Kluyveromyces lactis: one gene and its partners. The protein of the gene in region 1 binds, or shares a complex with, the protein of each later gene. Links are inferred from orthologs where the notes say so. Each region holds a gene or a part of one and is shown on either strand. Other genes may lie near its edges. The genes, in order: SEC20, SFT1, USE1, UFE1 and BET1.

Region 1 (6,132 bases):
AAGAAAGTCCGACTAAAATTCTCCAACCGTTATGAACTTTATTCAACCCAGCACCACATGCATAAGCGATCAATTGACCACCTGTTAGCCAAAGTGAGTTTATCACCGTTAGTCTACCTCTGATATGTTTTGGTGCGATTTCAGAAATGAATAATGGCGCTAGTAACGACCCAATACCGACACCGAACCCCATAATTAATCTACCTACTGCCATTTGCCAAAATGAATGTGCACTAACCTGCAACGCAGCACCAATGACAAAAAGAATATTAGAGAACATTAGACAAGGTTTTCTACCAAAAATGTCGGCAGAAATCCCTGCAAACACTGCTGAGATTAAGGCACCCAAAGATGTTGCAGCTGTAATTATTTCCTTATCACCATATGTTAGAGCTTTATTATCCAAGTCCGTACCTATAGAGACCAATGCACTCGATATATAACCAGTATCATAACCAAACATGAAACCAGAGATAGATGCTGTAAAGGTCAAGATCAAGATAAACGGAGAAATCTTTTGGTTGAAAGTAATCATGACTGAAGTGTCATCTTCATCATTGACCGGTTTGATAATGATTCTATCCGTGGTTTCATTTTCAGATGAGTCTTTCAATTTGCTTTGAGAGATATCATCGAAAATGATGGGAGAGACATCACTGGAATGCTCTGAAGTATCGTTCATTTTTGTTATTTTCTCTTTTTGATAGATGGGGAAAACAAAAAGCCTTCTGCTTAACCTTTTGAAACTTATACAGAAGCGAATGTTTAAATGTTTCCAAGGAGTACTGACAGTTGATATGACAGTGTTGTTAAGTGTTTTCAGGAAGAAACACTGCTTATTCTTTTCTTTGGTATCTAATCAACTGAAACAAGATAACGTCCGGAAACTAGAAGCTATTGTAAAATTGAAGATAGATGGAAGGTCTTTTCTCAAATCTTTTAGTCGCGTTTCCTTGTGGAGTGTGTCTTAATGATCGTTCTGTGAAAGAAAGCCAATGCAGAAAGGATAATCAGAACAAAAAGCTAACGGAACTACAACACCAAAAATGCAGCACTTATATAACAAAAATAAGCAAAAAACTTTGACGTAGTTTTGAAAACTCGTAGTAGGAAATCAGCGAAAAGAGAGAATAAAGTTCAATAGAAAACCCTCGAACAGAAACCGAAACAAGCACTCTTTAATTTCAAATTTGTTCTTTTTATTTCTGTAATAAAAAACAACCTATCAACCAACTCTAAAACGTAAACAGAAACCCGTGTTTAGTTTCTCCTTTTTGACAATAAAATGGTCTTTTACCTGATAAAGAAACTGATTCGAAGAGGTGATTCTTTGTGTTTCTATATGACCTGGCTGTATGATCCTTGAAACTTTACAGAATTTCTATATCATATATTTTTCTCTCCCAGAATACCGAAAAGATGCTCAGAAGGGACAAGAAAATCGAAAATTGTCATGAACGCACTATATTTAAATGGTTTTTTCTTGCAGAGAAAAACAAAGAAAAATTCAGGCACAAACAAGACTGTAGAGGAAATAGCGGAAGACGAAACATAGATACTGAAAAGAGAAAGGTATCCATGTTTGATGTTTATCCAACTCGCAGGGGGAAAAACTACATCGTCGGTCTCGAAGAGTTCGTTCCTTGTACGCCTTTCCTTACCACGACAAGAAGGAGATACGAACCACGTCAAATCTAGATAATGAAATTGCTATTAACTAAACTTAAATGCATTTAACCTAACGAAGGCAGTTTAGCCTTTTTACCGAATTGCGCTATCGGCGAAAAGCCTATTTTAGTTTCGGCGAGATTTTTACCTCAGTTATTTGTTGCTTTTCGAGAAAATGTGCAGAATGATTTCCCTTTTCGGCGATACCACGGTGCATGTTCGGCGAAAATTTTTCAGGTATTCCCTTTGTTTAGACACCTTCGTACGGTATGGAATATTTTCTTCTCCAGAACGACATGTGAAAACAAAACACAAATACACAAGCACATGTAATGGCTCGAAATTAAACAAATCACGTGATTGGAACTCTAATTGCTTCTGGATTTTCAACGGGCTCTTACTATTTCCCTAGATTACTGTTTTCCTTTCATAACTCGTCCATTAGCTTATCGAAACTATCGCTGATTGCTTGAGATACATCTAGAGATGATGTGAGTTCTGTTTCTGTTTGTGACAATACCTCCTTCAGAAGACTTGTTGAGGAGGAAGCTTGGTCTAAAATAGTATCTGTCACTGAGGAAATTGCAGAAACCACTGTGGAGCTGGAAGAAGCTTGATTTGGGGACACAGAACTTTTCACTATCCCTACAGTGTATAGTAGCGATTTGAAGAATTTGAAACATAGCCAGAAGGTAAATTTAACTGGATATTTGAATATTCTTCTCCATAGAACCCACATTATACAACCACAGAAAAATGCAATTGCGGCGTACACTTTTTGTTTCTCTTGATAGCTGCTGTTGTTAATGGCTTTAATGAGTTTTGTTGAAGCCTGTGACATTGCCTTGAACCTGTCAAACTTATCATTCACTAACATTAAGGTATCCGTCTGTTGTTTCAACTCATCGATATTCAATTCGCTCTGTAACACGCTGCTACGTAAGATTTGGTTCGTACGAAGTAGATTAGACGTGATTTTCTTGTTTACTTGTAACGTCTTACCCTTGATATTAGTGGCTGTATTCGGTAGCTGTATGCCGTTTGTGCTTCCGTCACGATCTATCTCTGACCTGTTCAAATCAGAATCAATGGAAGTTGTACTGCCTCTACGTTCCATGAGTTTACTTTGCAACGCATCGCTCAACGTTTCCTTGAGCATCATACGTGATTCAATTAAAGAAACCTCGTATTTCTCTATTAGCTCTTTCCTAAAATCAACATTTTTCACTAGTTCATTGACTTGTTCGATCCATTGTTCATCATGCTTATCGACTCCGCTCGGTTCTCTCTCTATCGTGAATTTTGGCTCGTATCGTATTCTCACACCATATTTCAGTTCAATTATCCGCTGAAAGCTACGGATCATATCTTCAAACGTAAGCAATTCACTCACAACCTTATCATCAAGGTCTTCATTGGTGTTAGAACTTTGTTCTTCCCTGAATAAACTCTCATAAAACAAAGAGTGCAAGAGATTTCTTTTAGCTTCTAATGATTCTCCAGATACTAACATCATTGCTTATCTTCTTATTTTCTATGTGATTATACCATAAAGATGTCGGATGCTTTTCAGGTTCAAAACCTTTACGACAACTTTTCTGTTGCTGCTGCCGTTACTGCTATTGTTGAAATTGTTATTGGTAAATATCAAGTATTGATCTTTTTTAGACTGAAGGATATGTTTGGTTACCCGGATACGTGACAATGGCGCTAGCCTTGATTTATGGAGCACTTGTAATACCGACCCTAAAGCGAGTTAGTTGATTTTAAAACACGCATTCCAATGACACCTTTAACTTGATGTAGGTAGAAATGCAATACTATAAAAGTATCTTTAATTAAGGTTTACAGTTGAGCTTTTTTCATCATTCAATCTTTATATGGGAATTTAGCAGTTTAAAATTCAGGTCAAAGACAAAAAAATAGAAAAAATGTCAGTAAGTATTTATCATCTTCATTTCAACAATCAGTAAAATATAAAGAAATCTATCTTAAAAACCCAAACCAATTCGAAATGAGCGAATTAGACGAGTTTTATGACTGTAGTAACAATGAGGAGACAGTTTGTTATGTTAATTTGTCTTTATTTAAAGGATCCCATCTGATTGCGGACAATTTTGATCCAGAAAGGATATTGCCGCCGAGCTCATTTATCAAAACTTTGAGAACTAGGCTTGCTAGGGAGTCAAGAAATTATAGTCTACTAGTTTGGTTGTTAAATTGTCCAAATATAACCTTAACTCAACGATCGGAACATCAAAAAGAACCATTTCAAGTATTCGAACCACGCCAGAATCGACTTTATCAGCATTATTTGAATATACGACCATTTTCTTATGCTGATGAAAATATTTCAATGGATGCAACGTTGGTGTCAAGTGAATCTCATTGGCCGGATCACTACTCCTATGAGTGCTCAATATTTCCTCGCCTGTTACAAAAGACCAATTACGACCATTTTCAAATGAACAGATTATGTGAAGAGTATCGGCAACAGTTCATTAAAATCATGGAAAATTTCGAAGCTCAAAAACCAAGACATCCTAAATATGCCCAGATTTATCTTCAGCAAAATCTTGGGCTATTGACAAGGGCATACATTCGGGACTTATTCTATGATATTACATTCAAATATTCTGCTTGGTCAAATGCCAAGCGGCTGACAAGAGTGGAGCTTTTGAGGTCTTTACAAAGATATCATAAGGAGTACACCTTCATCATGAGCTGTGATCCGATTGATAATTTCACTGAAAAATTGGACCATTTAACTTGCTTAAATTATGCTTCAAAAGATGAGGTGAATGCCAAACTAACTTACGGAATTTGGATAAATGCAGAGCATGGACTTATACTTCTATGTAACGGTATCGCCCATAGCTGGGACCTTTTACAGATCCCTAGCCATAGCTATCAGAATGACGATAATATTACATTATTTGTGACAAAATATATGCTATTCTGCAATATGAGCGTTCTTGAAACCTGTTTGTGGTTTTTTTAGGTTAATGACATGCCGAGTATCCAGAAAATATAACATTTTTAGTGGATGAACCTGTAATAGCTCGTTTACTGTTCCGACACTGCCAAGGGAGACCTCGCTTATCATTTCAGTGATGACATACCTTACTTCTAATGGAGGTTAGCAATAGAAAAAAACCGGATTAGAGGATTGCCCAATGGTGCGTGTTAAGTAAGCGGTTTACATTCTCAAATAGAACCCTTGCATGTGTTCGTCGTTTAGCAATTTTCGTATTCAAGCATGAACCTTAAAAAAAAGAATAGTATAAAGTAGCGAAAAGTACAGAATTAAGAGAAAGAAGGCTAAATCACTTTTGCATTTAGTATATATTATTATTATAATGCGCTGAATACCCAATGTCCTTAGCAACAATGACAGCTTTAAATCCTAAGACCACTCATTATGAGTTTTCTGGACCGGTCGGAGCCCTTCTGATTTCAGTTTTCTTACCCATTCTAACTGTCATCTTGAACCAGTTGATCAGACCCGACTATCATATCGTAGGGCTATTCAGAAACTTTAGCTGGATCGAAGTTTGGAACAAGGTAAATCCATTATCCAGTTATCTCTTCAATGGTGAGCTTTGGACTTATTACTCTGCATGGTTTTTCTCTCTAGCAGTTTTGGATGTTCTCTTACCAGGCACGAAACTCTACGGTGTCGAGTTGAGAGATGGGTCTAAGCTACCATATAAGATTAACGGAATTGCCGTGTCAATGGCACTTACTTTAGTTTTAGCTGTCAGATATCAATTGACTAATGGTGAAATGCCTGAACTACAGTATTTATTCGAACATCAAACGGACATCTGCATAATATCTATATTGTTTTCTTTCTTGTTGGCTTGCTTCGTCTATATTGGCAGTTTCGTGCCATTATGGGGAACAAATGGCAAAGGAACTAAAGAACGTATTCTTGCTGTGGGGGGCAACAGTGGGAACATTTTGTATGATTGGTTCATTGGAAGAGAGTTGAATCCCAGAATTGGTCCTCTTGACATCAAGATGTTTGCAGAATTAAGACCGGGTATGTTGTTATGGTTTTTGATCAATCTCTCATGCTTACACCACAGCTATAGGGAATCTGGTAAAATTTATGACTCTTTGTTATTGGTAAATGTTCTACAGGGTTTCTATATCTTTGATGGGGTTTTGAATGAGGAAGGGGTGTTGACAATGATGGATATCACTACTGATGGCTTTGGATTCATGCTAGCTTTTGGCGATTTGAGTTTGGTTCCTTTCACTTACTGCTTACAGGCTCGATATTTAGCTGTCTCACCAATTGAGTTTGGCCTGCCCCATAGTACGTTGATTGTTATTATAATGTTACTAGGTTATTGGATTTTCCATTCTGCAAATAAGCAAAAGTCAGATTTCAGACAAGGAAAGCTACCGCAATTAAAATCCATCCAAACTGATAAAGGAACAAAATTATTATGTGAT
Region 2 (5,574 bases), on another chromosome or scaffold:
GCCTCAAAAGACTTTAAGGAAATGAGGAGTGAGAAATGTTATTTCTATGAAGAAAAGAGATTTTTGAATTTGTAATTGTTGCTAATGAAAGGAATTGGCAAAGCTTCATAATAAACCGATTAAAGTTTAAAAAGTTTAAGCCTTGGCAACAGCCTTCTTAACAGCGTATCTCTTTTGCTTCTTCAAAACCAAAACTTGGAATCTTTCGAAGTCAGACAAAGCAGCACGTCTTTCTCTTTGAGCGATCTTCTTAGCCCAGGAAGAAGTAGCCCATTTTTCAGAGACACCAGCAGCAGCCCACTTCTTTGAAACAGTAGCAGACTTAGCACCTCTTGGAACAGCAAAGGTCAATGGAGTCAAAACGACTTGACCTAAGTTGATAGCTTGTCTTGGGACACCAGTGGTTGGACCATCAATCAAAGCCTGGAAGGAAATTAAAATTAGACAAGTTAATGTCATGGATATTTTGTTAGTAAAAATTGTTCGATACGAGTTTATGGATAGAAACAAAAAAATAACTAGGAAAAGGACTGTCATGTTCATACCAAGTACGAGAGCCATCGAGTATTAACGACACATTCCTAACCTTACCAGAAGGAGGGAAAACAAACGTAGTCTAAACCTCTCTCTCGATGTCTGTTCAGTACAATAGTTTTTCATTCATTTCTCAAAGTATACTTTCTTTAACTCGGGAAACAGTTTATCATGAATCATTCTTTCCTCTTCCTCATATTATTCTTCGGTTCGATCCTATACATCTATGCAACTTTCCCAAATAAAGCATAAGAATACCAGATCGCAGTGTGATCGATATCTGTTCTTATTTCAAATGGAAAGATGGTACTGTACAGGGAATCTCCGTTTCATTATAATCTGTAAAACATACTCTCTTTTGGTCAATGATTTCAACAATAGTGGCCAACTTGCCGGCGGATTGGCCTTGTTTAACCAAAACAACACGGCCAACTTCGACCAATCTCCAGTTAGAAGCTTTAACAACAGAATCAGTGGACATCTTTCACTTGGTTCTTCTTCCGTTCTGTAAATCAAGACCAAACCTAATCTAATATAACGTAATAGTAAGTATTAAACCGTTATTATAGTATACCTTCAAATAGTGTAACAGATAAAGTAGTCAAACAATTTTGTTAAACCTTGGTTCCAAACTCAAACTTCCAACGCAGCCCTGTGTGTCTGTGCGTGTCTATCCGGTGAAGCTGGAATTCGCTATTGTCAGAATCCAGGACGCAGAGTACCTTGGAGTGCTTATTGATGAAAAAGTTGCGTGGGTAACAATGTATGTGGGCTACGGGTTTAAAATACATACCTATTCCAATTTAGGTATTATATTACAGGACGAATTCATTTTCATCCTAACACAGGCGCAACAAAATATGTAATGGTTGGGTGTTTAAAGGACATTATTGAAATATAATGAGATGTACAGGTGTATAAAAGGGCAGTCCCACGAAAATTGTTATCAATGTCCGCATGCTGATTGAATTATATATAAAGAGAGCGTATGAGATGAGGTATGCTGTTTGTATTCACACGATTAAACGGTGGTATTGTTAGACAGTTAATATTAGGATTGTGTTTCAAGTATGAAGCTTGTTCGTCACTTTAATAATAATAGTAACAGCATGAGCAGTAGCCACTGCTATTACTATACCTAGTTTTAGTGATGATTGAGATTTAGCAGCAGGAAGTATGGATTTGAGAAGAATTCTTATCATAATGTTTCGTGGTTTTGGGGTTCGCTTCTTTTCTTTTGAATGATGTTTTATAATTTGCGATCGAGGGCAAGTCATCTCGGGACATGCCTAGTTCCATTATGGGAGTCTTGTGGTATGCGAATAACTTTCGGTCTGACTATTATAGAAAAGAATCCTTTCATTACAACACATTCATTATAACTAATTCTTCTCTTTCTTTCACCTCAGCAGAGGTGAGGAGATAATTATCGTGTACTTCTGCACCTAGTCATGTTCCAATTGTGATCATACTTATATATACCACATATTTCTCAGGTATGGAGGATAAAGCGAACCATAACTATCTTTACGAGATGAAAACAGTTGCCTAACGTTGATTTCATATGAAAATTATAAAACTAACAAACACCAAGATCTACTCTGATTTCGATAATTATGGTTTTCGCTTTGTACCGTTAACAGCGTCATGTATAGTATTTGTATTCACCGTAGCTTTCTTGTACCTTTCGCTATGCTTCGCTGACTGAAATGAAATATCATTTCTAACGTGTTTTGAAGATTCAATTCCCATTATTATGAGCGATAGAATTGAAACACTGTCTGTACCTTAAAAGGCAGGATCAAAGTGCACCTCAGAGTTTATATTATAGCGAAACGTTCACATTTAGCAACTAGAACGCGATATAGAGCCACTCTTGCATAAAGTGAACTCTCACCATGTCGGATTCCAAGTACTCACAGGTGGAAAATGATGTATGTTCTACCAAAAAGACGTTTGATGGCAGAATAGGCTTGAACCTACAGGCGCAGTATCCTTACCGACTGTACGGTATGCAAGTGCCACTTTAAGATCGAAATTTACTAACGTAACGCTCAAACATTTTCTTTAGAATAATCAAAGGTTAGACGAATTGGCCAATAAACTATCTACATTCAGAAATATCAACCAAGATATTGGAAATCAAGCCGCAAATGACAGCTCCCTTATCGACAATATACAGAACTCATTCGGTCAACTTTTCCTTAATGTCAAGAACTCATCTACAAGGCTCCAGAGATCTATGAATGCCGGTAATAATATATGGCGTATGGTGGGTGTATCATTATTGTGTTTCTTCATATTGTACACGATATATAAGGTATTTTAAGAACCTTTTGCTTACTGACCGCAAGTACTCTTCTTTATAGGAAGAAGTTTGAATAAGCAGAAGATATTCGTTGTATATACACATATGTATACATTCAGGTAATGTAATGTCATAGCATCATCCTTTCATGCACCTTGAGCAGCATCTCTTCCCAATCTGTAATTACCGATCCCTTGTCCCCAGTTGATCTTGGCTCTAGTCACGGGTAATCTTCTTCTCAATCCCTTGAACTGTGTTTCATTCATGTACTGGAACTTATTGATGAGATTCTTTTCAAACTCGTTCTCAAACTGCTTGATGCTTACTATTGGTGAATCCGTCTGTGCTGATTCCAAGGAAGCAGTTGATTTGAAACGAACGTTACCGTCTTCGAAGTAATGAGCATCGACGGAGACTTCGCCAGAGATCGTATCCCCATCGACATCATACACATATTCTGATAACCAGTAACCAGTCCAGAAATCACCTAAACTTTTCTTGTTACTGACAACGATTATGGCATATTGGTCGCTCTCTGGAATCTTAAACACGTTGAACACAGCTGTATCAGGGAAGAAGTTTGAAACGTATTTAGACAATTCATCGTAAAGGTCTGATTGTACCTGAGTGGCATCTTCACTGGTATATTCCTCAATATCACTAGCTTCGCGGGTAATATGGTCTACGGCAAATAAAACCTTGTTTACTGGATCGAAATATTTACTTCCAGATTTATTGTATTCAGACACAAGATATCTCTCTTCACCCTTAGCAGCTGGCACTCTGTGCTTCTCATTGAATTCTTGGATAATTGAAGCAATCTGTTGCTTGCTTTGACCATCGCTTAACACTTGTAGATTATCGTAAACCAAAGAGATTTCCTCTGGAGGGGAATCGAATACAATATCTCTCACAATCTTCTCAAATTCAGACATAATATGATTTTCACAGTGTGAATTGATGTTCACCACAATTTACCTTAAAATGACAGGTTAATTGTCTCTAAATCCACTTCTTCACTGGTAGATTTTTGCCTATAACTGTAGTAAATTTTAACTTAAGAGTTCTTTACGATATCGTTATTCGTCTCATTTATTTTTTGAAAGAAAAAGGGACCTTAAATTTGAAGGAACCTAGGCTATCCATGACTTGTACTAGGGAAGAGCTGCAGTTGATTAATGACATGGAAGGCGCGTAAGGCCATGTGTTTTGGCAATATATTGAGATTTAAATACTCTTACAACTAAATAAACATGCTCTCTTGACGTATGTGCAAAGAAATAAGCTTATCATAGGATAGTATTTTTATATAGAAGTGCAGATTAAGCATGAAACAGAACAGATCCACTACTGAGCATTACTGTTAGAGCTCATGTTATAATGTTGAGGCATTTGAGGTTGCTGCGGAGGTATAGACTGCATTGACATACCGGTGTACTGAGGATATGGTGCCAATGGCTGTGGGATATGGTTCGTACCAGTATAATTGGTGTTACCGACTGAGCTCGCATAATTTTGAGGTGAGTTTATTTGACTCAAGGGCTGCTGAGTTTGTTCAGACTGTTGAATTTGTTGAGTTTGTTGAGGTAATGGATATGAATATGGCGGATTTGGTATGCCATTCATTTGCGTTTGTGTATTTGTAGGACTTGTGTATTGAGCAGTTGGTGACATTGGACTTTGTGGGCCTGGAGTTGGTGCAGGTCCCGTCATAGGCGCGGGCGGAGGCGCAGAATAAGCATAAGCATTAGATGCTCGACTTAGCAACTGGTTGTATGTGATTTCAGCATTAGCCAAAATTTGACGTAATGATACGAGATCTTCTTTCTTCTGAGCGTACTTACCAAGCATCTTTGATATCTGTGGGCGAATTGGTGAAACTGATCCGTACAAATCATTTATCTCTTGGTCTTGCGTGATATCTGCGTTTCCAGCTTCTCTCAACTTATTCTGTAGCCTGTCAACATTGTCCTTTTGAGCGAAAACCTGTTCGTCCTTTGCTCTTTCTGCTGCCAATTCTTGTTGAGAAGGTTCTGTAACTGGAGTTACATAATTGAGCGGGAAGATTCCAACGCTCCCAGCAAGCGTTCCTCTCCACCAATCCCTGTACACCTGCTCAACCACACAAATCAGATCCCCTTTCTTGAAAGATAATTCATCCTGTTCTGTAGAATTGAAATCGTACATTGCCCTTACCTTACGTATAACAGTTGGCGCTTGTTGTTGTTGAGCTTCGGCATTCTGAGGGTACAGTTTCTGTTGTTGCTGCTGTTGCTGCTGCTGTTGCTGCTGCTGCTGCTGTTGAGGCTGTTGTACTTGTTGCCTGCTACCCGTCTTTTCAAATTCAAGTAAGGACAATCTTAGTGCCTCTGCGAGCTCTTTTTCCTCTTCAACCTCTCTATCTTTACTCATTTCTTTCTTCTTAGGTACTCGAGGCTCTGAGATCAACTCCGGATGTGATATCTTGATTTTGCTCTCTAGATCATGCATATACTTCAACGAAGGATCGTTCTTGAACGAATCTGCTAACTGATGAACGACTTTCAACACCTCTCTCTTCACCGCTACATGAACCTGAGAATCATCCACTATTTTGTATAAAATGCCAGTAAAATGCTTACTGCTAATTGCTTGCTGTAACCGGCTTCCACAGTTTTCAGCTAGTGCAACTACCAACGACAAGGTCCGAAGAATCATATTGGCATCTTGTTTCAATAACCGTTCTTCAATTA
Region 3 (5,972 bases), on another chromosome or scaffold:
CCATAGGTTTTTATGCTAGAAAGAAGGTTCAATTCTTTATCATAAACCTCAATAGAGCCAGTTCGATTGCCTGAGTCCTTATGCAAGAGATAGGTACCCACAATGATAAATTTCTCTCTTAAAATACACAAGCAACATGGAGGAAGACGCGTGGTAACCCTTTTATCAGCTGCAGTTTCTTCCATTCTGCAGAAACTCTTGACTTCTAATTTTGTCGCTCCTCTAAGGTGGTATGCAATACCTATGTTGGAGTCGTACTCTGCATCCTCATCATGCGGGTGCTTTTGTAAAGATTGTTGAGCCATCCATCTGTTCTAGTTCAGGTTTACCACACAATTTCTTTTTTACACTTTACGTACTAGCGGAAAATTTTAATATGTTAACCAGCTCATCTCATCATAAGCAAAGCATCAGCACAACAATCTTAGCAGTTAACGGCAGGTCTACAAGCAACACGGACTAGCAGCATGCCACCAAAGGAAACAACAAAGAAGTGGAAACCTCCAAAGGGTCCAAAGCCTATTCAAAGGAAGAATAAAAACACTATTGGGTTAGGTAAGGCAATTCAAACTGCAAGACGTAAGGAAAATGAAGTGCAGTATTTGCCAGATGGTGAAGAACGTTTCACTACCGATAAGCACGAAGCTAATTGGGTAAAATTGAGATCTGTTACTCAGGAATCTGCATTAGATGAATTTTTGAGTACTGCTGAGTTAGCAGACAAGGATTTCACAGCGGACAGACATTCTAATGTCAAGATCATCAGAATGGATAACGGTGCCGATGCAGCCACATCCCAGGGATTTAGTTTGACCAATGAGCAGAAAAGTAAGATCAACGAGAAGCAGAGATTACATGCTAGAGAGTTGATTGTCCCAAGAAGGCCTAAGTGGAATGAATCTATGACCAGATTTGAATTAGAAAGGTTAGAAAAGGAAGCATTCTTGGAATGGAGACGTAAATTAGCCTATTTGCAAGAAGACAACGAGGATTTGTTATTGACTCCATTCGAGAGAAACATTGAAGTTTGGAGGCAGTTGTGGAGAGTTGTTGAGCGATGTGATCTAGTAGTCCAAATCGTGGATGCCAGAGATCCATTATTATTCAGATCCACAGATTTAGAGAAATATGTGAAAGAAGTGGATGACAGGAAACAGAATTTACTTTTGATCAACAAAGCGGATTTATTAACAAGAAAGCAACGTATTATTTGGGCCAAGTACCTTCTCTCGAGGGGCATCTCTTTTACATTCTTTTCTGCTGCCAAGGCTAATGAAATATTAGAGAGACAAGAGGAACTAGGGGATGAATACGTTGAAGAAGAGGACGATGAGGAAATACTGGCTACAGAGGAAGAAATTGAAGAACTTGATGGGGAAGAAGTGAACAAAGAAATTCTGGATAAAATTAACATACTGAAGATCGATCAACTTGAAGAATTGTTCTTAGATAAAGCGCCAAACGATCCGCTACTTCCTCCATTGCCCGGTCAAGAGCCAATCATACAAATAGGTCTAGTGGGTTATCCAAACGTTGGTAAGTCTTCCACTATAAATGCCTTGGTGGGTGCCAAGAAAGTTTCTGTCTCTTCTACCCCTGGTAAGACCAAACATTTCCAAACTATCAAGTTATCTGATAAGGTAACGTTATGCGACTGTCCAGGTCTAGTTTTCCCTAATTTTGCATACAATAAAGGTGAATTGGTGTGTAACGGTGTTCTACCGATCGATCAGTTACGTGACTATATTGGGCCATCGACATTAGTGGCAGAAAGGGTCCCTAAATACTTTTTGGAAGCCATTTACGGTATCCATATTCAGACCAAATCCGTAGAAGAGGGTGGGAATGGTGAAGTACCAACTGCACAAGAATTACTCGTTGCTTATGCCAGAGCTCGTGGTTATATGACACAAGGTTTTGGTGCCGCAGATGAATCTCGTGCCTCTCGTTACATTCTCAAAGATTATGTGAACGGTAAACTCCTGTACATTAATCCACCGCCTCACATGGACGATGATACGCCATATACCAGAGAAGAATGTAAGGAATTCAACAAAGATTTATACACGTTCAGTAAATTACCTATCAACAGACAAGAGCAACTTGCAGAAGCTGCCAAACACAAAGGTATACAAGATTTGGATCTTGCTCGCGATTTAAGTCGATTAACGTTCTCTGCTCATATTGGTGGTGATGGTGATAAAGTACAAGCTAAATCTGTCAACCATGGTGGTAAACAAGCAGCCTTGTACAACGTAGCTGATGAACTTGACAAAAATTTCTTCCATTTGAACGGTGTTCAAGGCAGACTTACGAACCCTTTCCATAAGCAAACCGTCGCCAACGAAAATGGTAAGAAGCATAACAAGAAGAACAAGAAGAGTAAGAAAAAGGCTTCCATGTTTTCCGATTAATGTAAGTACTATCTAAATTCATCCTAAACTCTTATATATATATAAATCCACTGTTTGCACAGTCTATTATCCCCATTCATTATGGAAATGTAACTGCATATCCTTTATATCTTCCTTAGCTGCCCTGCTTCCGGTTATAAGACCTATGGTTAGCATGCAACTTGTCACTGCATTACCCGGTGTTTACTGAAAAATTTGATGAACCAAAAGAAAAGGATACAAAACTTGGTTAAAGTTGGTTTACTTTATACTTGACCTCAGTACATGGTCCAGTTGATAAGTATTCTTGTCATTTGTGGTTATCTTTTTGGTTCCTAGCTCAGCAAACAAGGGCTCTTAAACACATTTCGGCATGTTCAATTATGGTTCGCGTTGTGGTTATCATGGCGCAGACTTATTCCACGCATGTAGAAGTAAGCTCAAGATGCCCAGAGCTGGGATACTCCCATTTAACGCCCTTTTCGCTAACAACAACTGAATTCCTACAGTTTGTAGTTTGATAGTAGGTGGGCGGAAATATTACCCATTTAATTGGTTCAGTAGTTTCCTCTGAAATATTATGAGAGTCGTATGAATTTGTATATCAATAAGATTTAGCAATAGTTAACCAAGTTCAGCCTTATGTTATACTTACCATCGGTAGATACATTAAGTAGCACTCGGTCCACTCTTTCTTACATGCGCTTTTGTAAGGGTTGGCAAGGGTCATGCTTCAGAGTGAATGACTTTCATTCAGACAGCTCTGTTATTTCTTTGATTGAGGTTTGGGATAATATTTTAGTGACATAAAACAAAATGTAATATAGCCTTTAAAATAATACTTAGTACAATTCCAATCACAAATAAAAAGGGATAGCGCCTCGTTAAAGGACATTAACTGACGGAATATGACGACAGATTTAGACACATTAAGTGATCAACTACGCAAAAATTATTACAGGGACCTTTCGCTCTTTCAAGATGACGAAGACCCTTTTTACCATTATCTTATATCTACAAAACTGGCCACAAACTTAAATACCGTGAGAAAACTGGCTATAAAGGATAACTTGGATGATCCGTCTTCTGATGCTATTGATAGATACCAGAAAAACTTTAGCAGACTAGAGGAATCGGTTAGCTCTATCAGTTTCTCCAAAGCTTCTAAGTTGCAACAGAAATATGATGCATATCAGGAATCTCAAAAGAAAAGGCGATATAGTGTTGATTTCGATGCAACGCCCGACGTGCCTATAGGAGATGAGGACGATGTTGATATAATATCCAATGTTGAAGCAATTAATGACAACGATTCTTTGAAGGAGCTCCGCCAAAGGCTTATGGGTAAAAGAAGGGACAGCGCTGATACGGAGGGTGAATCATTTGACAAACAAATGCAAATTCAGGATGATCTTCAGAAGGAACTGGTTGAAGACATGTCCCAGCTAGTTTCAGGCTTAAGACAAGGTGCGGAAGCTTTCCAGAATGCTATCGAACACGACTCTACTGTTCTTAAGGCAGCAGAAATCGGATTGCATGTTACTTCTAAGAGCCTTTCTTCACTCGGATCCAGATTGAAAAAGTATCACAATGAAAAAATTGGATTTTTAATGAAGTTAGGACTTTTATCGTTTATTATAATTGGTCTATTGGTCACCTATCTTGTAATAAAAGTATTTCCAGATTTATGAGTGTCTTCCGCTAAAATCTCCAAGATTTAGATAAAGGCTCTGCTTCACTCAAAAGCTTCAAAGTACAAAATAGACTCATGAATATTCGATGAAATTAATTGATACCGTTTCCACTTATCGAATAGATTGATTCTATTGATTGTCTTATCTATAATTGCATATTATACACTTGTTTAAAATTGACAGGCACTTATATTGTTATAGGACTATTGACTACAGAACATCAAACATTAAATCAGCTTTATTACCAACATCACTGACAAATTCTCTACTATCACCGGCTAATAATTCTCTTCTGATTTCAGGTCCAATTTCTTTGTGACCTCTTTGACGAACAGTTTCAAGTAGGAAATCTCTTTGATCTTGGGTAATATCATTCTTATAACGTTGAGCAAACGCTAAGAAAGCTTTATGCCATACCACAGGTAAGACTCTGACGGCATCTTGGCCTGTACTTCCATCAGTGACTTCTCTGAATCTCATGAAGTAGAAGACACATTCGTCAACAGTTTGATAAGGCAAAGCATACTTCTTCTCGAGTAGAATTTTGATGAAAACGGTGGTGGCTGGGGAAAAAGGTAATCTTAAAAGGTAGGACAATGCTGCAGCAGAATGAAGAGCTGGCACAGAGACCTTGGATAACACACTTGCAGCAATGGTAGCTTCTCTAACATTACAACCGGATTCCACAAGTGGGAATAAGAACCCTTTGAAAAAGGCAGCCGGTTTATACAATGATTTCTTTAATGCACGGTAGACATGGTAATTTAAGTTGTGATCTTCGTTAAATTCAATTTCTTCTCTGAAGCGTGGTAACAACACAGCTATAACGAATTTTTGGGCCTCTTTAGATGATAAGTTAGAAACAAAAAGTTTAGTACCTTCGTATATAGCATGCGGAGACCATTCCTCTGGATTAGTAACATAGAGAACATCTTGCCAGTTATTTAGAGAAGGCAAAACTTTGAATAGTTTGGGTAGTTTACCATGTCTCCAGGTCTGCATAATGGTACCAACGGCAAGGTATGCTTGAATCACCTTGGGTGGTAAGGCGACACCTTCTGTACGATCTACAGGTGCAGCTGGTTCCGCTACTGCAGAGGCATCACCTGCTTCTTCTTCATTATACTGTAGTTCCATCTCTTTTTCTCTAATAGAAGCCATAATCTTATCGGCAAGGTTATATGATCCATTGGCAGAGTTGAAATCAGCAGAAGTCTTGAAATATTGGTCAAACATTTCAGCATCTTCTTCGTCAATTTCTACCACTTCTTCCTCCTCGTATCCTTCGAAATCGTCTTCATCTTCCGGTTCAAAGTCAGATATGTTATTACCTTGAGCTTCCTCTTCCTCAGCTACATCATCTTCATCCGCATAGTTGGCCACACAGAATCTGTTTATTCCTTGGCTGGATGTCTGCAGAGACTGCTCGTCCTCTTCCTCTAATTCTTCCTGCTGTTCCCTAGCTAATTGCAAAATTTTTCTAGATTGCTGGGCATCGACAAATTCTTCATCTTCATGGCCTTTTTGATCCTTAGCATCGATCTTTTTCTTACCTTGTCTTTTCAACTTACCATGTTGAGAGTCAAGATCGTTCAATAAAGGATCGTGTCTCTGTTTACGACCGCTGCCACCCATTACTTTACCCATTTTCTCCGTAGAACAAATAAATCTTGTATCACTAGTCGTATTCTGAGCACTAAAGCAGACACTAATGAGTAATTTTGTGATTGTTATCTGCCATTTACCTCATCTCATCTCATCTCATCTCATCTCATCGCTTCTCATCTCATCGTTACTTATTCAAATCCCAAAAATTTTCAGTCAATGCACGGACAGAAAAAGAAAGGCTAGAGATACTCTGTTTAGAGAAGTCAAAGGTTCAATT
Region 4 (6,116 bases), on another chromosome or scaffold:
TTACATGTCCAACTTACCTCATTTGAATTAAATGTAGTACTAAATATGATCCGGGTAATCTTGTTTTTTTGTGTTTACATCGTAGAACAAAACGTAAACAATGAAAACATTCAAAGCTTTAGATCTCATTCAGCGTTTAAATAACCTGTTCATTGACTGAAAGAAGAGCGATTCCTAAGTCTATAGGGACCCGAATTGACGGCGGATAGTGTTACTAAGTTTTGTGAGAGTGCAACATGAGCGCTTCTTCGCAGTACGATGAATTTCAAGCTATGCTTGAGCAACAAAAGGGAATTTATTTACAGCAGAACAGTCAGCTTGCGAAATATAATTCCAGTCTTATGATGAAAATCACTGATATGGAGACTAAAGTGAGTGAATTGGTGCAAGAGAATGTTTCCTTACGGTCGCGGCTTTCTATGGGTGAATTGCGCTATCGTGAGAAGCTCAATACTGTTTTCCAGACGTTAGAGGACGGAATTGTAGAAAAATTCTTGCAAATGAACCAATTGTTGACCACAGTACGGGAGAGCCAGGGTTTAGAATCAGGTATTCATGATAACCCTCTTAAACCGATTTTGAGAGGCTCGAATGGTATAAGCCCGAGATCTGCGAAGAAAGTGGAGTTTACTGGTGCAAATACCACAACGAAACCAGTTGGGTTTGAGGATCCAATTGCGGAAGATAACCATGAAAATAGCGGGAATAGTCTCGAGCTGAATGATGATGAGGTACGACCTCTGAGAAAGAGGAGGCGTAAGAGTTCACGGAGAGAGTCGTTGTTCATTCCTGCAGATTTCGAGTTTAACGATGAGGACCCGGAACTAGAACTGAATCAACTGCCGATAACTGAGGATGAACCGCCGCCTAGTACTGCAGCCACCTCAGTACCTGAGGAAGAGTCTCAGGAGAACAAGCATACAAAAGAAGAGCGTGAAGACGAGGGAAAAGAGAATGTCTCTACGATACCTTTGGTACCGGTCCTTCCATCTGTTACTAACACAGGCACTGAATGTAGCAATACCAATAAAAATAATACTACAGAAATGGAAACTGCACTTGCCGAAGATGATTCTTACAATTTCACTACATCAGTCATTGAATATTCCATTCCAGAGGAAACTTCAACTCACGAGCATTCACATATCCTACTGGAAACGTCGAAATCGAAAATTGATGTATACAACGACAGAGAAGAGACAAACAACAATGAGGCTGATGACTCAATGAATATCGTCCAGTGCACAATCCCATCACAATCGAAAATTAAACATTCCATGAAACATCCTAGGACGAAACTGAAAGGTGGCCAAGATGATATTATGCCCCACACAGATTACGATAAAGATGATGAAAAACGAGAAAGAAGGACTAGAGGCAAAGCTGTCAACTATAAACTCCCATCACTACGTGCTAAGATGCGTAGACCCACTGAAAAATTGGTGGATGCCACAACTGTCACCGATATTCATGATTTACAAGTGAAACGTAGAAATAACCAACAACAGGGAATACCGTCTGATGACGATGATCAGGAAGAACTCTTAGTGCCTGCTGGCGTACCTGACACAAATGTCGTCATTGCAACAGTGGAAGAAGAGAACAGAAAGGAACCACCGGCTTTACCATTACATGAGATTCACCTTGCACAAAACGTTAAACCTAAAATCGCTCTGAAAGAATTATCAGCTAACGCTATCAACAGAAAAGTTAAAACATCTACTGCCGTAAAAGCAATAAGCCACACTAAATCGCGAGTGCTTAAAGATGTCAAGTTCAACACATTGCCCACAAAGCAACAAGCTATTGAAAACAACTCGTCCGATCCAAATGTATCTGATGAAAATGAAAATAGCAACGTGAAACCGACAAGAACTAAACAGGCTACTTCAGATCTAGCAGCATTTGAAATTATAGATGGAATTTCTCTGAAACATGTATCCAGGACACATCGTGTCAGAGCAAAAGAAGACATGAACAAAAAACGTAAAAGAATTCATAATGACGAAATAAGCATATGATAGAACTACCTCAGCATTCAACCCGTCCCATACCAACATTCGATACCAGCATATGGCACATATCATATGAATCTTTTTTTTTTTCCGGTATTTGAGCATGATATAGATAATATTAAGTACATACATTAGATAGACAAATGATACCAATTATCCATGATCCTCAAACGCTCATCTTCATTTGAATCTTCCCATGAGGGTTATAGTCAGTTATTTCGAAGTCTTCGTATTTGAAATCGTCGATATCACTGACATTTCTCTTTATCTTCAATTTTGGGAAAGCTCTTGGCTCTCTGGCAATTTGTGTCCTTAATGCATCAACATGATCTTTATAAACATGCGCATCACCCAAAGTGTGAATAAATTCACCAGGTTCCATATCACAGACCATAGCAATCATCTTCGTCAGTAGCGCATACGACGCGATGTTAAAGGGTACTCCTAGACCCATATCACATGATCTCTGATAAAGTACACATGACAATCTTGGTTTGGCACCTTCTCCCTTGGGGAAACTGACGTAAAATTGCGAGAAAACATGGCATGGCGGTAAAGCCATCTTGGGGAAATCCGGAGGGTTCCATGCAGAAAGAATTATTCTTCTGTCGTATGGATTTGTCTTCAACTTATGAATAATCTCCTTCAACTGATCAACACCTTGACCACTATAATCATCATCACATGTCTTATATTCGGCCCCAAAATGTCTCCATTGGAACCCGTAAACTGGTCCTAAATCCCCCTCTCTTCTGTCAGTCAACCCAAGTGAGTCCAGGTACTCACGAGAACCGTTACCTTCCCATATCTTAACGCCTTGTTCTGATAATTTCTTCCCGTCTGTACATCCAGCAACAAACCATAAGAGCTCCAAAATAATACCTTTCGTAAACACTCTCTTCGTAGTGAGAAGCGGGAAAGTATCATTGCTCAAATTAAACCGTAACTGTGGAGGCGCAAAAAGGGAATAAGTCCCTGTACCAGTTCTATCTGGTCTGAATTCTCCCTCATTGATAATCCTTTCACATAAATCCAAATACTGCTGTTCTTCCGCGTTAACAGCCTCAAGCTTAACTCTCTTCACGTTTTCATCGCTCAGCGTCATGGTTGACAAATGTTGGTTGTTTAATGATCCGATAAAACGCCAAAGGAGTCGAAGGATGGTTGAAGTAAGATAGAGTTTAAACTAGAGATGGCCTTTAACTCTTAAAAGCCGTAGTCTGATTCTTAACGCGTTTTCGTGTTGTGGGAATTTTTCAATGGCCGGGTAATGATGGTGAAACAATGTCACGTGCTACCTAAATTCTTAATTCCATCCTCGATGAAGCTTTGGTCTGGCAAACGAATGCGAATCAAATTTAACCAAAGGTTACTTTGGTTAAGGAGGTACCGTTCTACTGGTAATTATACTGTCTATTAACTGTCCAATTAGAGGCAACTATCGTGTGTGTTTACCCTATCTAATCTGGGACTATAAGCGTTCCTTGTTCAAGCTTTTCTATGTTGAGTAAGTGTCAAAAAGAATATATACAAAGAAAGTGACTACCTTAATATGAGTAATAGAACTGAGCTCTTCAAAAAGTACATGCAAGTGATTGCAGAGACTCAGGGAATTGATGATGCTAGGAACGAATTGAATAATACGAAAGCGAGAGAGGATAGAGAAAAGGTGAAGGAAAAGTTTAGTGTAAAGGATACTTTTGTAAAAGAAAGTAAGCAGTTGATGAAACATATTATGGAATTCCAGATAGTGATAAGGCAATTGACTCCCAGGTACGAAAGTGCTACTGACATGACTGATCAGGAGAAAGATGATTTTGATACAGAGAGCAAACTTCAATTACAGCAATATTTCGAGAAATATAAGCAATTGGAATCGTATGAAAGACAGAGACAAGAAATGATGAAAGAAAAGTTAGAGAAATGGTCCGCAACCGTACCATTTTTCTCTAGATCAATTGACGATGTATCCAGTTTCCACAAGGTGAATAATCAATTTCGTATGGGTATATTACAGTCATTGAATATGTGGCTCATGAAGATTTCAGATAGGTTGTCAACCATTCAGCAGACACGATTATCCAGACAAAGACATATCGAAGCCATTGATTTCAATGCTCAATTACACTTACCTGAAGAAATTTCTGTATCACAGTCTCCTATGATAACGACAACTGTTGAAGAAATCAAACAGTACGAGGAAACGATGTCCAAACTCTCTTCAGAACAATTACAAATCTTGGCCACAGAGCATGAAGAACTTCTTAATTTGAAGAACGAAGAATTACAAAAAGCAGAGGCACTACGGAGAACCGCAGTAGATATTGCATCGCTACAGAGTGAATTGGCTACACATTTGCAGGTTCAAACACAAAATATTAATACATTGCTCGATAATCAGACTGACGTGGAGATGGAAATGGAAAAAGGTAACAGACAGTTGAAACAGGCCAACAGGAAAGGAGATAGGCTCGCTAACATGGTCATGTGGTTTGCTATAATTTGTGGACTGCTATTGTTATTCTTCGATTACATAAATTAAGGTTAATTCGTTTCTCTCTGTTGCAATTGCTTACTACACGGTGATACGTAATGGTGTATATATGTACGGTAAGTTTTTAATAATCTAAAGATTTGATCAACGCAGCTCCGATTGTTCTTCCCTCCTTTCTTAGAACCACCCTTCCTAACTTCTTATTTTGCTCGAATGTTAGCATTGGGATTCTTCTTTTTTTCTCCACCAGCTCGATCTCAACTATGGCAGCTTGTTGAGAACCCAAATGCTTCACTTTCTTTTTTAAAACCTTAGATGGATTACTTTTATCGACAGTACAACACAATTTTTTGATTCTACAAGGTTGTTCTGTAGCACCTCTAAAGAGCATGAGCGAGGTACCAGGTAATAACGGTCTATCCAGCCTGAAAGTCAAGAGTCTTGAGGTAAATTCTTGGGAGCTTGGGATATCAAATCCAACGATAGATGCCAAATCACCACCTTGAATATCTTCAGGGAAGGCGTTATGCAACTTCAATTGGACAAAGTCTCCATGTAATGCAATATCCACTTTTTGAGAGTCATTGCCGCATAATATTGAATCAACAACGCAACTCTGCTCAGATGGATATATTGTGATAGTTTCGCCCGGTTGAATAGTACCTGATTCTACTTTACCAGATATAATGGCGGATGTATTTTTGGAAGTTGGAGTGACATCCAAAATGTTGAAGAGGAAAGGCTCTTTGGTAACACTTTCATCAACACATGCTAGCTTCAAAGCAACATTTTCAAGTTCCCCAACGAGACTTGGTCCCTGATACCAAGTTTGAGATGGCGGATATGGGGTTTTGAAGATACCCTCACCACTTAACCCGCTGCATGGAACCCAGCTTACATCGTTACCTTTGAAACCGATTTCTTCGAAGAAAACAGCCAATTCTGATCTAATGTCGTTAAATCTACCTTCGTACCACGATACAGAGTCCATTTTATTCATGGCAACAACGATATGTTTAATTCCGAGACTTCTGGCTAGCAATGCGTGTTCTTTAGTCTGACCATCAAGGTTAAAACCTGATTCAAATGCATCGGTTCCACAGTCTACTGAAAGAACAGCGACATCAGCCTGTGAAATCCCAACAATTGCATTTGGAACAAAATCTCTATGACCAGGAGCATCAACAATGGTGAACGAACTTTTAGTAGTGGCAAAATCACTAGTACAAATGTCAACGGTAACACCCCTATTTCTTTCCTCTGAAGTTTGATCCATGACCCAAGCAAGATGGAATGAGGACTTGCCAATCATTTCACTTTCCTTTTGCAACTTACGAATCAATTTTGTATCAACAGCACCAACGTCGTATAGTAGACGTCCCATCAATGTGGATTTTCCTGCATCAACGTGACCTAGAACTACAAAATTCAAATGAGGTTTCTTGTTGTCGAGGTAGGAAGAAATATTGATTGCATTTTTAGGTTTTGTAGGAACACTCACCTTCTTGTAAGTCTTCACAACAGGCTCTTCAAAAGGTAACTTCTCATCATCATCGTCATCGTCATTGATATCCTCTTCTTTTTCAACAGTTTTTGAACTTTGTTTA
Region 5 (5,579 bases), on another chromosome or scaffold:
GAACCATACTTTGTCTCATTTTGGCCAACCTCTGATTTTGAAGATATCGAATCTTCTTATCAGTTCAAAAACTGTGAAGACTGTTCGCTTTTTCAACGGATTTGGAAGTTGGTAAGTAACAAGGCTGACTCGATAGGAATCAATACGGTACATTTCAACTGTGTGAATCCGACAGATTCTTCAAAGAATGAAGCCATTTGTAGGGAGTTGTCCTTCGATACTTTGACTCAGAAGAGAAACTCTAGGTTAGAAAGAGCCCCGGAATTTGCATTGATCTTACCTAACCGCAAGAGTGGTAGTTTTATTAAGTTCCCATTTGGTCCAAAGCGTGTCGATAGCGAATCCTTGATTGATTTTGCTACAAGAACTTTACACAACAGTAACGTTCCAAATATTGATCAGGATGAGATCGAAGCTTTTGTAAAAGAACCAAAAAGTGACATTTTGGAAGCAAATGCCGAAGCCGATAAAATATTGCTTGTATTTAATTATAACCCGGAAACTGTTGTCCCTGAGGATATGCAATTTTTGGAACAACTCATTGACCCATTGGGATACATCCCTAATATTTACTTGTACAAGAACACTGACGACCTAAAGAAGTTAAGCCATACTCTCTATCAAACTCTGTACAAAGATTATAATACCGATCAACGCACTGAAATTAATGAGGACCATTTTATCACGACATCCATTACCCAATCACCAACGTTCTTCATATTCAAGAAATCTACGTTTACTCCGATCATATTCCCTGGATATTCAACAACTGAAACCAGAAATTTGGACTTCATCTTGGATTGGCTCACTATAAACTCTCTTCCAACTGTCACTGAGATTACATCCAAAAACTTTGAAGCATTAAAAGGATTTGAACAAGATTTCTATGACAAGTTGGTAATTCAATTGGTTAATAAGAAGAATAATAAGTTTGAAGAAGGTTCAAAGAAAATCGTCGAAGGCCTACGAGTAGCGGCACATAGTTATGAAATATTGCGTAACGAGGCGGTGTACGAAGGTCTTAAGACGGCCAGAGAAGAAAAGAAAAAACTGGTGCAAAAGCTTAAGAACAAAAACGCACCATCCGTTGATATAGTCACTGCCATGAGAAAAGAGATAAATTACAGTTATAATCACAAGGTCATATTTGCCTATTTGGACATTAATGAATCCCCTTCTCTCTTGAATAATAAAGGTCTAAATGTTTACTTCAGGAAGTTCAAGACTGGTGATATCATTGTCGTGGACAAGCAAAAAGCCATCTATTACGAAAAGGATGCTTCTGGACAATACATCACCCTAGAGACGTTGCCCGAAGTCCTCTCCATTCTGAATTTCCCCGCAAGACACCCTGATCTTCGTATTGAACGCATCTTTTTGAGAACTCCACTCAGTGGATTGCTCAGATTAATTGACTACCTCCGCGAATTTAGCGGAATCAATTACTTATTTGTTGTGGTGACATTCTTGGCGTTATGGAAAATACCCAGAACCATTCATCATTATAAACTGAAAAGACGTTACGCTGCAAAACGGGATACTCATGGTATCCTCGGGAAGGAAGCTAAGCTCATGGATTGAGGAACAGGAATTCTTCCTATAAATAATCTTATATTTCAACCTAATACTGATAGTTACGATTTATTAATATATCTTTTTAATGGTACATATAATGCGTGAAGGAATGCGTTTAACCAATACGAATTAGATATACATGCTCGATGGGATACTCTTCAGTACATGACCCTTTTGTGGTTTTTTATTTCGCTCTCGCTCTCTCAACGTATCCAGACGTAGAAGAACAAAAGTGTCAGAACACCAAATATTATGAACCATATTTTTAATGGAATGCGAGAATTCTGAGCCATCACCATCATTCTCTTGAAAGTCCTTTTCAAACGGTTGCTAGTCTGTTCAAAAACGTTTCCTAACTGATCTAAGGTCTGATTGCTACCACGAATCTCATCTCCCATTCGTAGAGATAAATTCTTTAGTGCGTTGATCTTTTCACTCATGGTATTCATTTGTTCATCACTTTGAGACTCGAGCTGCGAAAGTGTTGCTTGAGAATAATCTACCCCTGGGGATGGTCTATCAAACGGCGAACTTGGTCTATCCTGTTGTTGTTTATACTTAGAGAAGTCAGTACCCGCAAACAATTGCGTCCTACTCGCATCTCGCTGTGTCAAATCACCTTGCATTCCACTATAGTTTGAACTCATACCTTAATTATTTCTAGTGCCTCAACAATAAAATACAAAGTGTAGATTTGTCAAGATACTCAGATCTAACCATAGGGAATTAAGTGCAGTTTCACCTTGGAACTTCCTAGTCCATCTGTAAGCTACTACCAAATCGATTCGCTTAACGAAAACTTTTTGTTGAAGTTTAATCACGTGATATTGTCCTCGAAGGTTTCCCCTTCGCTCTGACAAAGGTATCATTATCATCATGAAATCCTAGTTAAGCTAAGAGTTAAATGTATTAGTCAACCTACTGTTTAAACGGCTGAGAAAAGTATTTGCAGTATACCCTTTTATAAGTATTCTGTCCACTGTGAGCATATACAGTCATATCTGCAGTGGCTGGTACGTTTAGTGTCCCAGGATCATAATCAATTGTATCTCGATGTCAGCTGAAACCGAATTATTGGGTATGCCTGAGTCCTTAAAGGACATCAAGCACATTATATTGGTCCTTTCTGGTAAAGGTGGTGTTGGTAAGTCATCTGTCACCACACAGACAGCATTAACTTTATGTTTAAAGGGATACAAAGTGGGTGTTTTAGACATTGATCTAACTGGACCGTCGTTGCCTAGAATGTTTGGTTTAGAAAATAAACAGGTTTATCAGGCTTCTAAGGGTTGGATACCCGTTAGTGTTCCTACGACATCAGGAGGGGAATTGAAACTCATGTCCTTGGGTTTTCTTTTGGATGATAGAGGTAATAGTGTGGTATGGCGTGGTCCTAAGAAAAGTGCTATGATTAAACAATTTATAAAAGATGTGGATTGGGGAGATTTGGACTATTTGATTATCGATACACCGCCCGGAACTTCGGATGAACATATATCTATCGCAGAAGAGTTGAGGTGGGCTGCACCTGATGGTGCTATTATTGTTACCACGCCTCAAGGTGTCGCTACGGCAGACGTGAGAAAGGAAATCAATTTCTGTAAGAAAGTCAACTTCAATATACTCGGTGTCATCGAGAATATGTCCGGATTTATATGTCCTCATTGTGCTGAATGTACAGATATCTTCTCTAGAGGAGGCGGTTTCAAATTAGCCAGCGAATATAACGTTCCGTACCTGGGGAATATTCCAATTGATCCGACGTTTGTCGAGTTGATTGAGAAACAGACTGGGTTCAAAGAGAGCTTAGTTGATCTCTACAAGGATTCTGGATTGTATGTCATTTTCTCAAAGATATTAGATAATGTACTGAACGGTGAAGTAAAAAGTGGAACAGATCAATAATGGGTAAATTTGACATGAAACTTTTCATAAGTCAGCCGATTTGCTCATGCCTCGAGGTCTAGTGAACGGTTCTGTGATACATATATGCTCAAGAGTTGTAGCGATTGATGGCCTTGATGTACTCCGGATTGATGACAGTGCTAATGGCGCCGAGGATATCGACTGACGGTACGATTTGGTGGTGTTTGAGTCCGCTGAATTTCCTTTGGTACTATGATAATCTTTTTTAGCATTATTTTGGCTTCCATTTGTACTTTGCCTCGAATAAGAGCTGTTCAAACTCTCGGAATTAGCTTCGTTCTGTGACTGCCCACTATTGTCCTTATTCGCTTCGGTTTCTGTCGTGTTACTACTCTCTGGGAACCTTTCTTGCAACAGCTTTGAAATTTTGCTGAATTGCGTCGCATCAACTTTTATACTACCGTTTCTAGTTACGTAGTCTAATAATTCTTCATTCACATCTCTGATTATTCGTACCTTCTTATCAATGTCAGAATATTTGCTTTCGAACTGTTTTAACTGTTTATCCGAATCCTTAGTGAATTTTGATCGTAGTTTTACTAACTTAGAAAAGCTAGACTCTAGTTTTTTTACCGAGTGGTTGATCTTGTTATTTACTTCTTTCGTCTGCGATTGTTCTGTATCGATTTCTTCCTGAAGTCTCGAATAAATTATGGCAACATCGTCACTGATTTGATTTACTTCCTTGGCCACATTGGAGAATATATGATCTTGTCTCAATGAAGAGGAAGAGGGAAGCAAAGGCAATGATTGCAACTGTTTAGAATAATCACTCTTTTCAATTGTCGCAAAGTGGAAGCTCTCTCGCTTCCTCAGGTGCTTCGAATCTCCATAGAATAGGAAACTCATCTTATAGCAGTTGGAATCTCAACCTTCAAAGAACCTTAAAGTTATTGATGGCACTGGGTCAGTACAAGTATAAAAATTTTAGCCAATAAATAATGGTTCCTGAGTACACTAATAGTTTAGTTCAACTGAGCCTTTCTCGCTGTTCTTTCTCTGACAAACGTGCCCTTAATACGTTGGTTTAATGCGTGTCTATTTTAAGGTTCGCATTTATGGTTCTTAAACGTTTTTTCATATAAAATTCAGGCAACCTCTTTACAATACATGTCATCATGAAAGAAAGATTGTTTAAGTTGATTTGAAATCGTTCCGGATGTGTAGTCTAGGGGTATTCATGGTTACTGAATTCAATTGGATTGATGAGATTAACTCTATTGGATTCATTTAAAGGTCAATTGATTGCTAGTCCTTTTTTTCCTATTGTCGATTGAGAGAGTTACTATATATATAGAAACCATTCCATGTGTTGAATACCCTTACGTTGACCAATTGATCTCATAATTTCATTTCTTTAGTAATGATAGAAATATTGGCTATTTTATCGTTGTTTGGTGGGTGCTGTTCCAATGTATTGAGTTTAGAAGAACTTTTACTAGATAATAAAGATCGGTTGGGAAATGTGGTCACTTTTACACAGTTTATATTCGTTATCCTAATTGAACTGCCGAAGTTTGTCAGCTTAAAAGGGAGGAAAGTCTCAATAAAACCCTGCAAGATACCGTTCTTTATCCATTCAACGTCAGCGTTGCTCTTTTTCATTGGATCTGTTCTTAATAATAACGTTTTCATGTACAACATTTCAATTCCATTACACATTGTCATCAAATGTTTGAGCACCGTAAACACCATGATTTTCAGTTCAATAATTCTCAAAAAGAGATATCCTTTTGCTCAAATTATAGCAGCACTCATGATGACTTTTGGGGCCATAATTACCTCTGTTTTCAGGTCTACTGAAATTACGTCGTGGCATAACTTTTTGGAAAGCTTTCAATATTCTAACGGGTCAAACAGGCTATTTCTCGGTATATTATTACTTTCATTATCAACGATGGCGATGTCATTACTCGCTGTTCTTAATGAGTATACCTTTCGTAAGTATGGAAGGTTTTGGGAAGAGTCATCGTTTTATTGTCATCTACTCTCAACACCATTGTTTCCAATTTTCACTCGTTTGAATTTGAAGAAGGATCTTCCACTATTGATGGAGTCAAAAGAAACAGTCCTGTTAC

The links.
Region 2: SEC20 (region 1) and SFT1 share a complex: the UniProt entries of both Saccharomyces cerevisiae proteins name them as parts of the SNARE complex. The link is inferred for Kluyveromyces lactis from reciprocal best matches to the Saccharomyces cerevisiae genes SEC20 and SFT1.
Region 3: the proteins of SEC20 (region 1) and USE1 are in contact, whole or in part, in a cryo-EM structure (PDB 8EKI), measured with the Saccharomyces cerevisiae proteins. The link is inferred for Kluyveromyces lactis from reciprocal best matches to the Saccharomyces cerevisiae genes SEC20 and USE1. Residues at the interface, in NP_010786.3 of Saccharomyces cerevisiae: Asp14, Leu17, Asn18, Leu20, Gln21, Cys104, Leu107, Ile109, Val110, Leu112, Lys114, Tyr121, Val125, Glu126, Leu128, Asp129, Leu132, Gln133, Asp136, Trp137, Tyr139, Cys140, Tyr141, Lys144; in NP_011417.1 of Saccharomyces cerevisiae: Asn23, Arg26, Arg27, Val30, Thr31, Gln33, Leu34, Gly35, Ser37, Asp39, Phe46, Gln50, Gln54, Phe58, Gln62, His65, Asp66, Lys69, Ile70.
Region 4: SEC20 (region 1) and UFE1 share a complex: the UniProt entries of both Saccharomyces cerevisiae proteins name them as parts of the SNARE complex. The link is inferred for Kluyveromyces lactis from reciprocal best matches to the Saccharomyces cerevisiae genes SEC20 and UFE1.
Region 5: SEC20 (region 1) and BET1 share a complex: the UniProt entries of both Saccharomyces cerevisiae proteins name them as parts of the SNARE complex. The link is inferred for Kluyveromyces lactis from reciprocal best matches to the Saccharomyces cerevisiae genes SEC20 and BET1.

Annotation. Positions count from the first base shown.
Region 1 is NC_006039.1:1,041,398-1,047,529, reverse strand, and holds SEC20 (Sec20p), read right to left. Parts: upstream 3,185-6,132; coding exon 2,096-3,184; downstream 1-2,095. Other genes in the region: myo-inositol transporter ITR1, read right to left, coding at 1-682; NDJ1 (Ndj1p), read left to right, coding at 3,683-4,669; ERG24 (delta(14)-sterol reductase), read left to right, coding at 5,044-6,132. UniProt on the Saccharomyces cerevisiae protein: SNARE required for targeting and fusion of Golgi-derived retrograde transport vesicles with the ER.
Region 2 is NC_006038.1:1,174,667-1,180,240, forward strand, and holds SFT1 (Sft1p), read left to right. Parts: upstream 1-2,432; coding exon 2,433-2,468; intron 2,469-2,605; coding exon 2,606-2,863; downstream 2,864-5,574. Other genes in the region: RPL14A (60S ribosomal protein eL14), read right to left, coding at 136-423, 887-1,015; CAP1 (Cap1p), read right to left, coding at 2,989-3,777; ESCRT-0 subunit protein HSE1, read right to left, coding at 4,190-5,574. UniProt on the Saccharomyces cerevisiae protein: Vesicle SNARE required for retrograde transport within the Golgi complex.
Region 3 is NC_006042.1:638,373-644,344, reverse strand, and holds USE1 (SNAP receptor USE1), read left to right. Parts: upstream 1-3,301; coding exon 3,302-4,084; downstream 4,085-5,972. Other genes in the region: RRT2 (diphthamide synthase), read right to left, coding at 1-305; ribosome biogenesis GTPase LSG1, read left to right, coding at 468-2,414; snoRNA-binding rRNA-processing protein ENP1, read right to left, coding at 4,298-5,734. UniProt on the Saccharomyces cerevisiae protein: SNARE required for targeting and fusion of Golgi-derived retrograde transport vesicles with the ER.
Region 4 is NC_006037.1:695,630-701,745, reverse strand, and holds UFE1 (Ufe1p), read left to right. Parts: upstream 1-3,567; coding exon 3,568-4,557; downstream 4,558-6,116. Other genes in the region: SGO1 (Sgo1p), read left to right, coding at 237-2,021; CDC21 (thymidylate synthase), read right to left, coding at 2,182-3,120; ribosome dissociation factor GTPase HBS1, read right to left, coding at 4,634-6,116. UniProt on the Saccharomyces cerevisiae protein: Syntaxin required for targeting and fusion of Golgi-derived retrograde transport vesicles with the ER.
Region 5 is NC_006040.1:1,196,972-1,202,550, reverse strand, and holds BET1 (Bet1p), read right to left. Parts: upstream 2,223-5,579; coding exon 1,779-2,222; downstream 1-1,778. Other genes in the region: protein disulfide isomerase EPS1, read left to right, coding at 1-1,581; iron-sulfur cluster assembly protein CFD1, read left to right, coding at 2,629-3,480; VAB2 (Vab2p), read right to left, coding at 3,505-4,350; YEA4 (Yea4p), read left to right, coding at 4,865-5,579. UniProt on the Saccharomyces cerevisiae protein: SNARE required for targeting and fusion of ER-derived transport vesicles with the Golgi complex.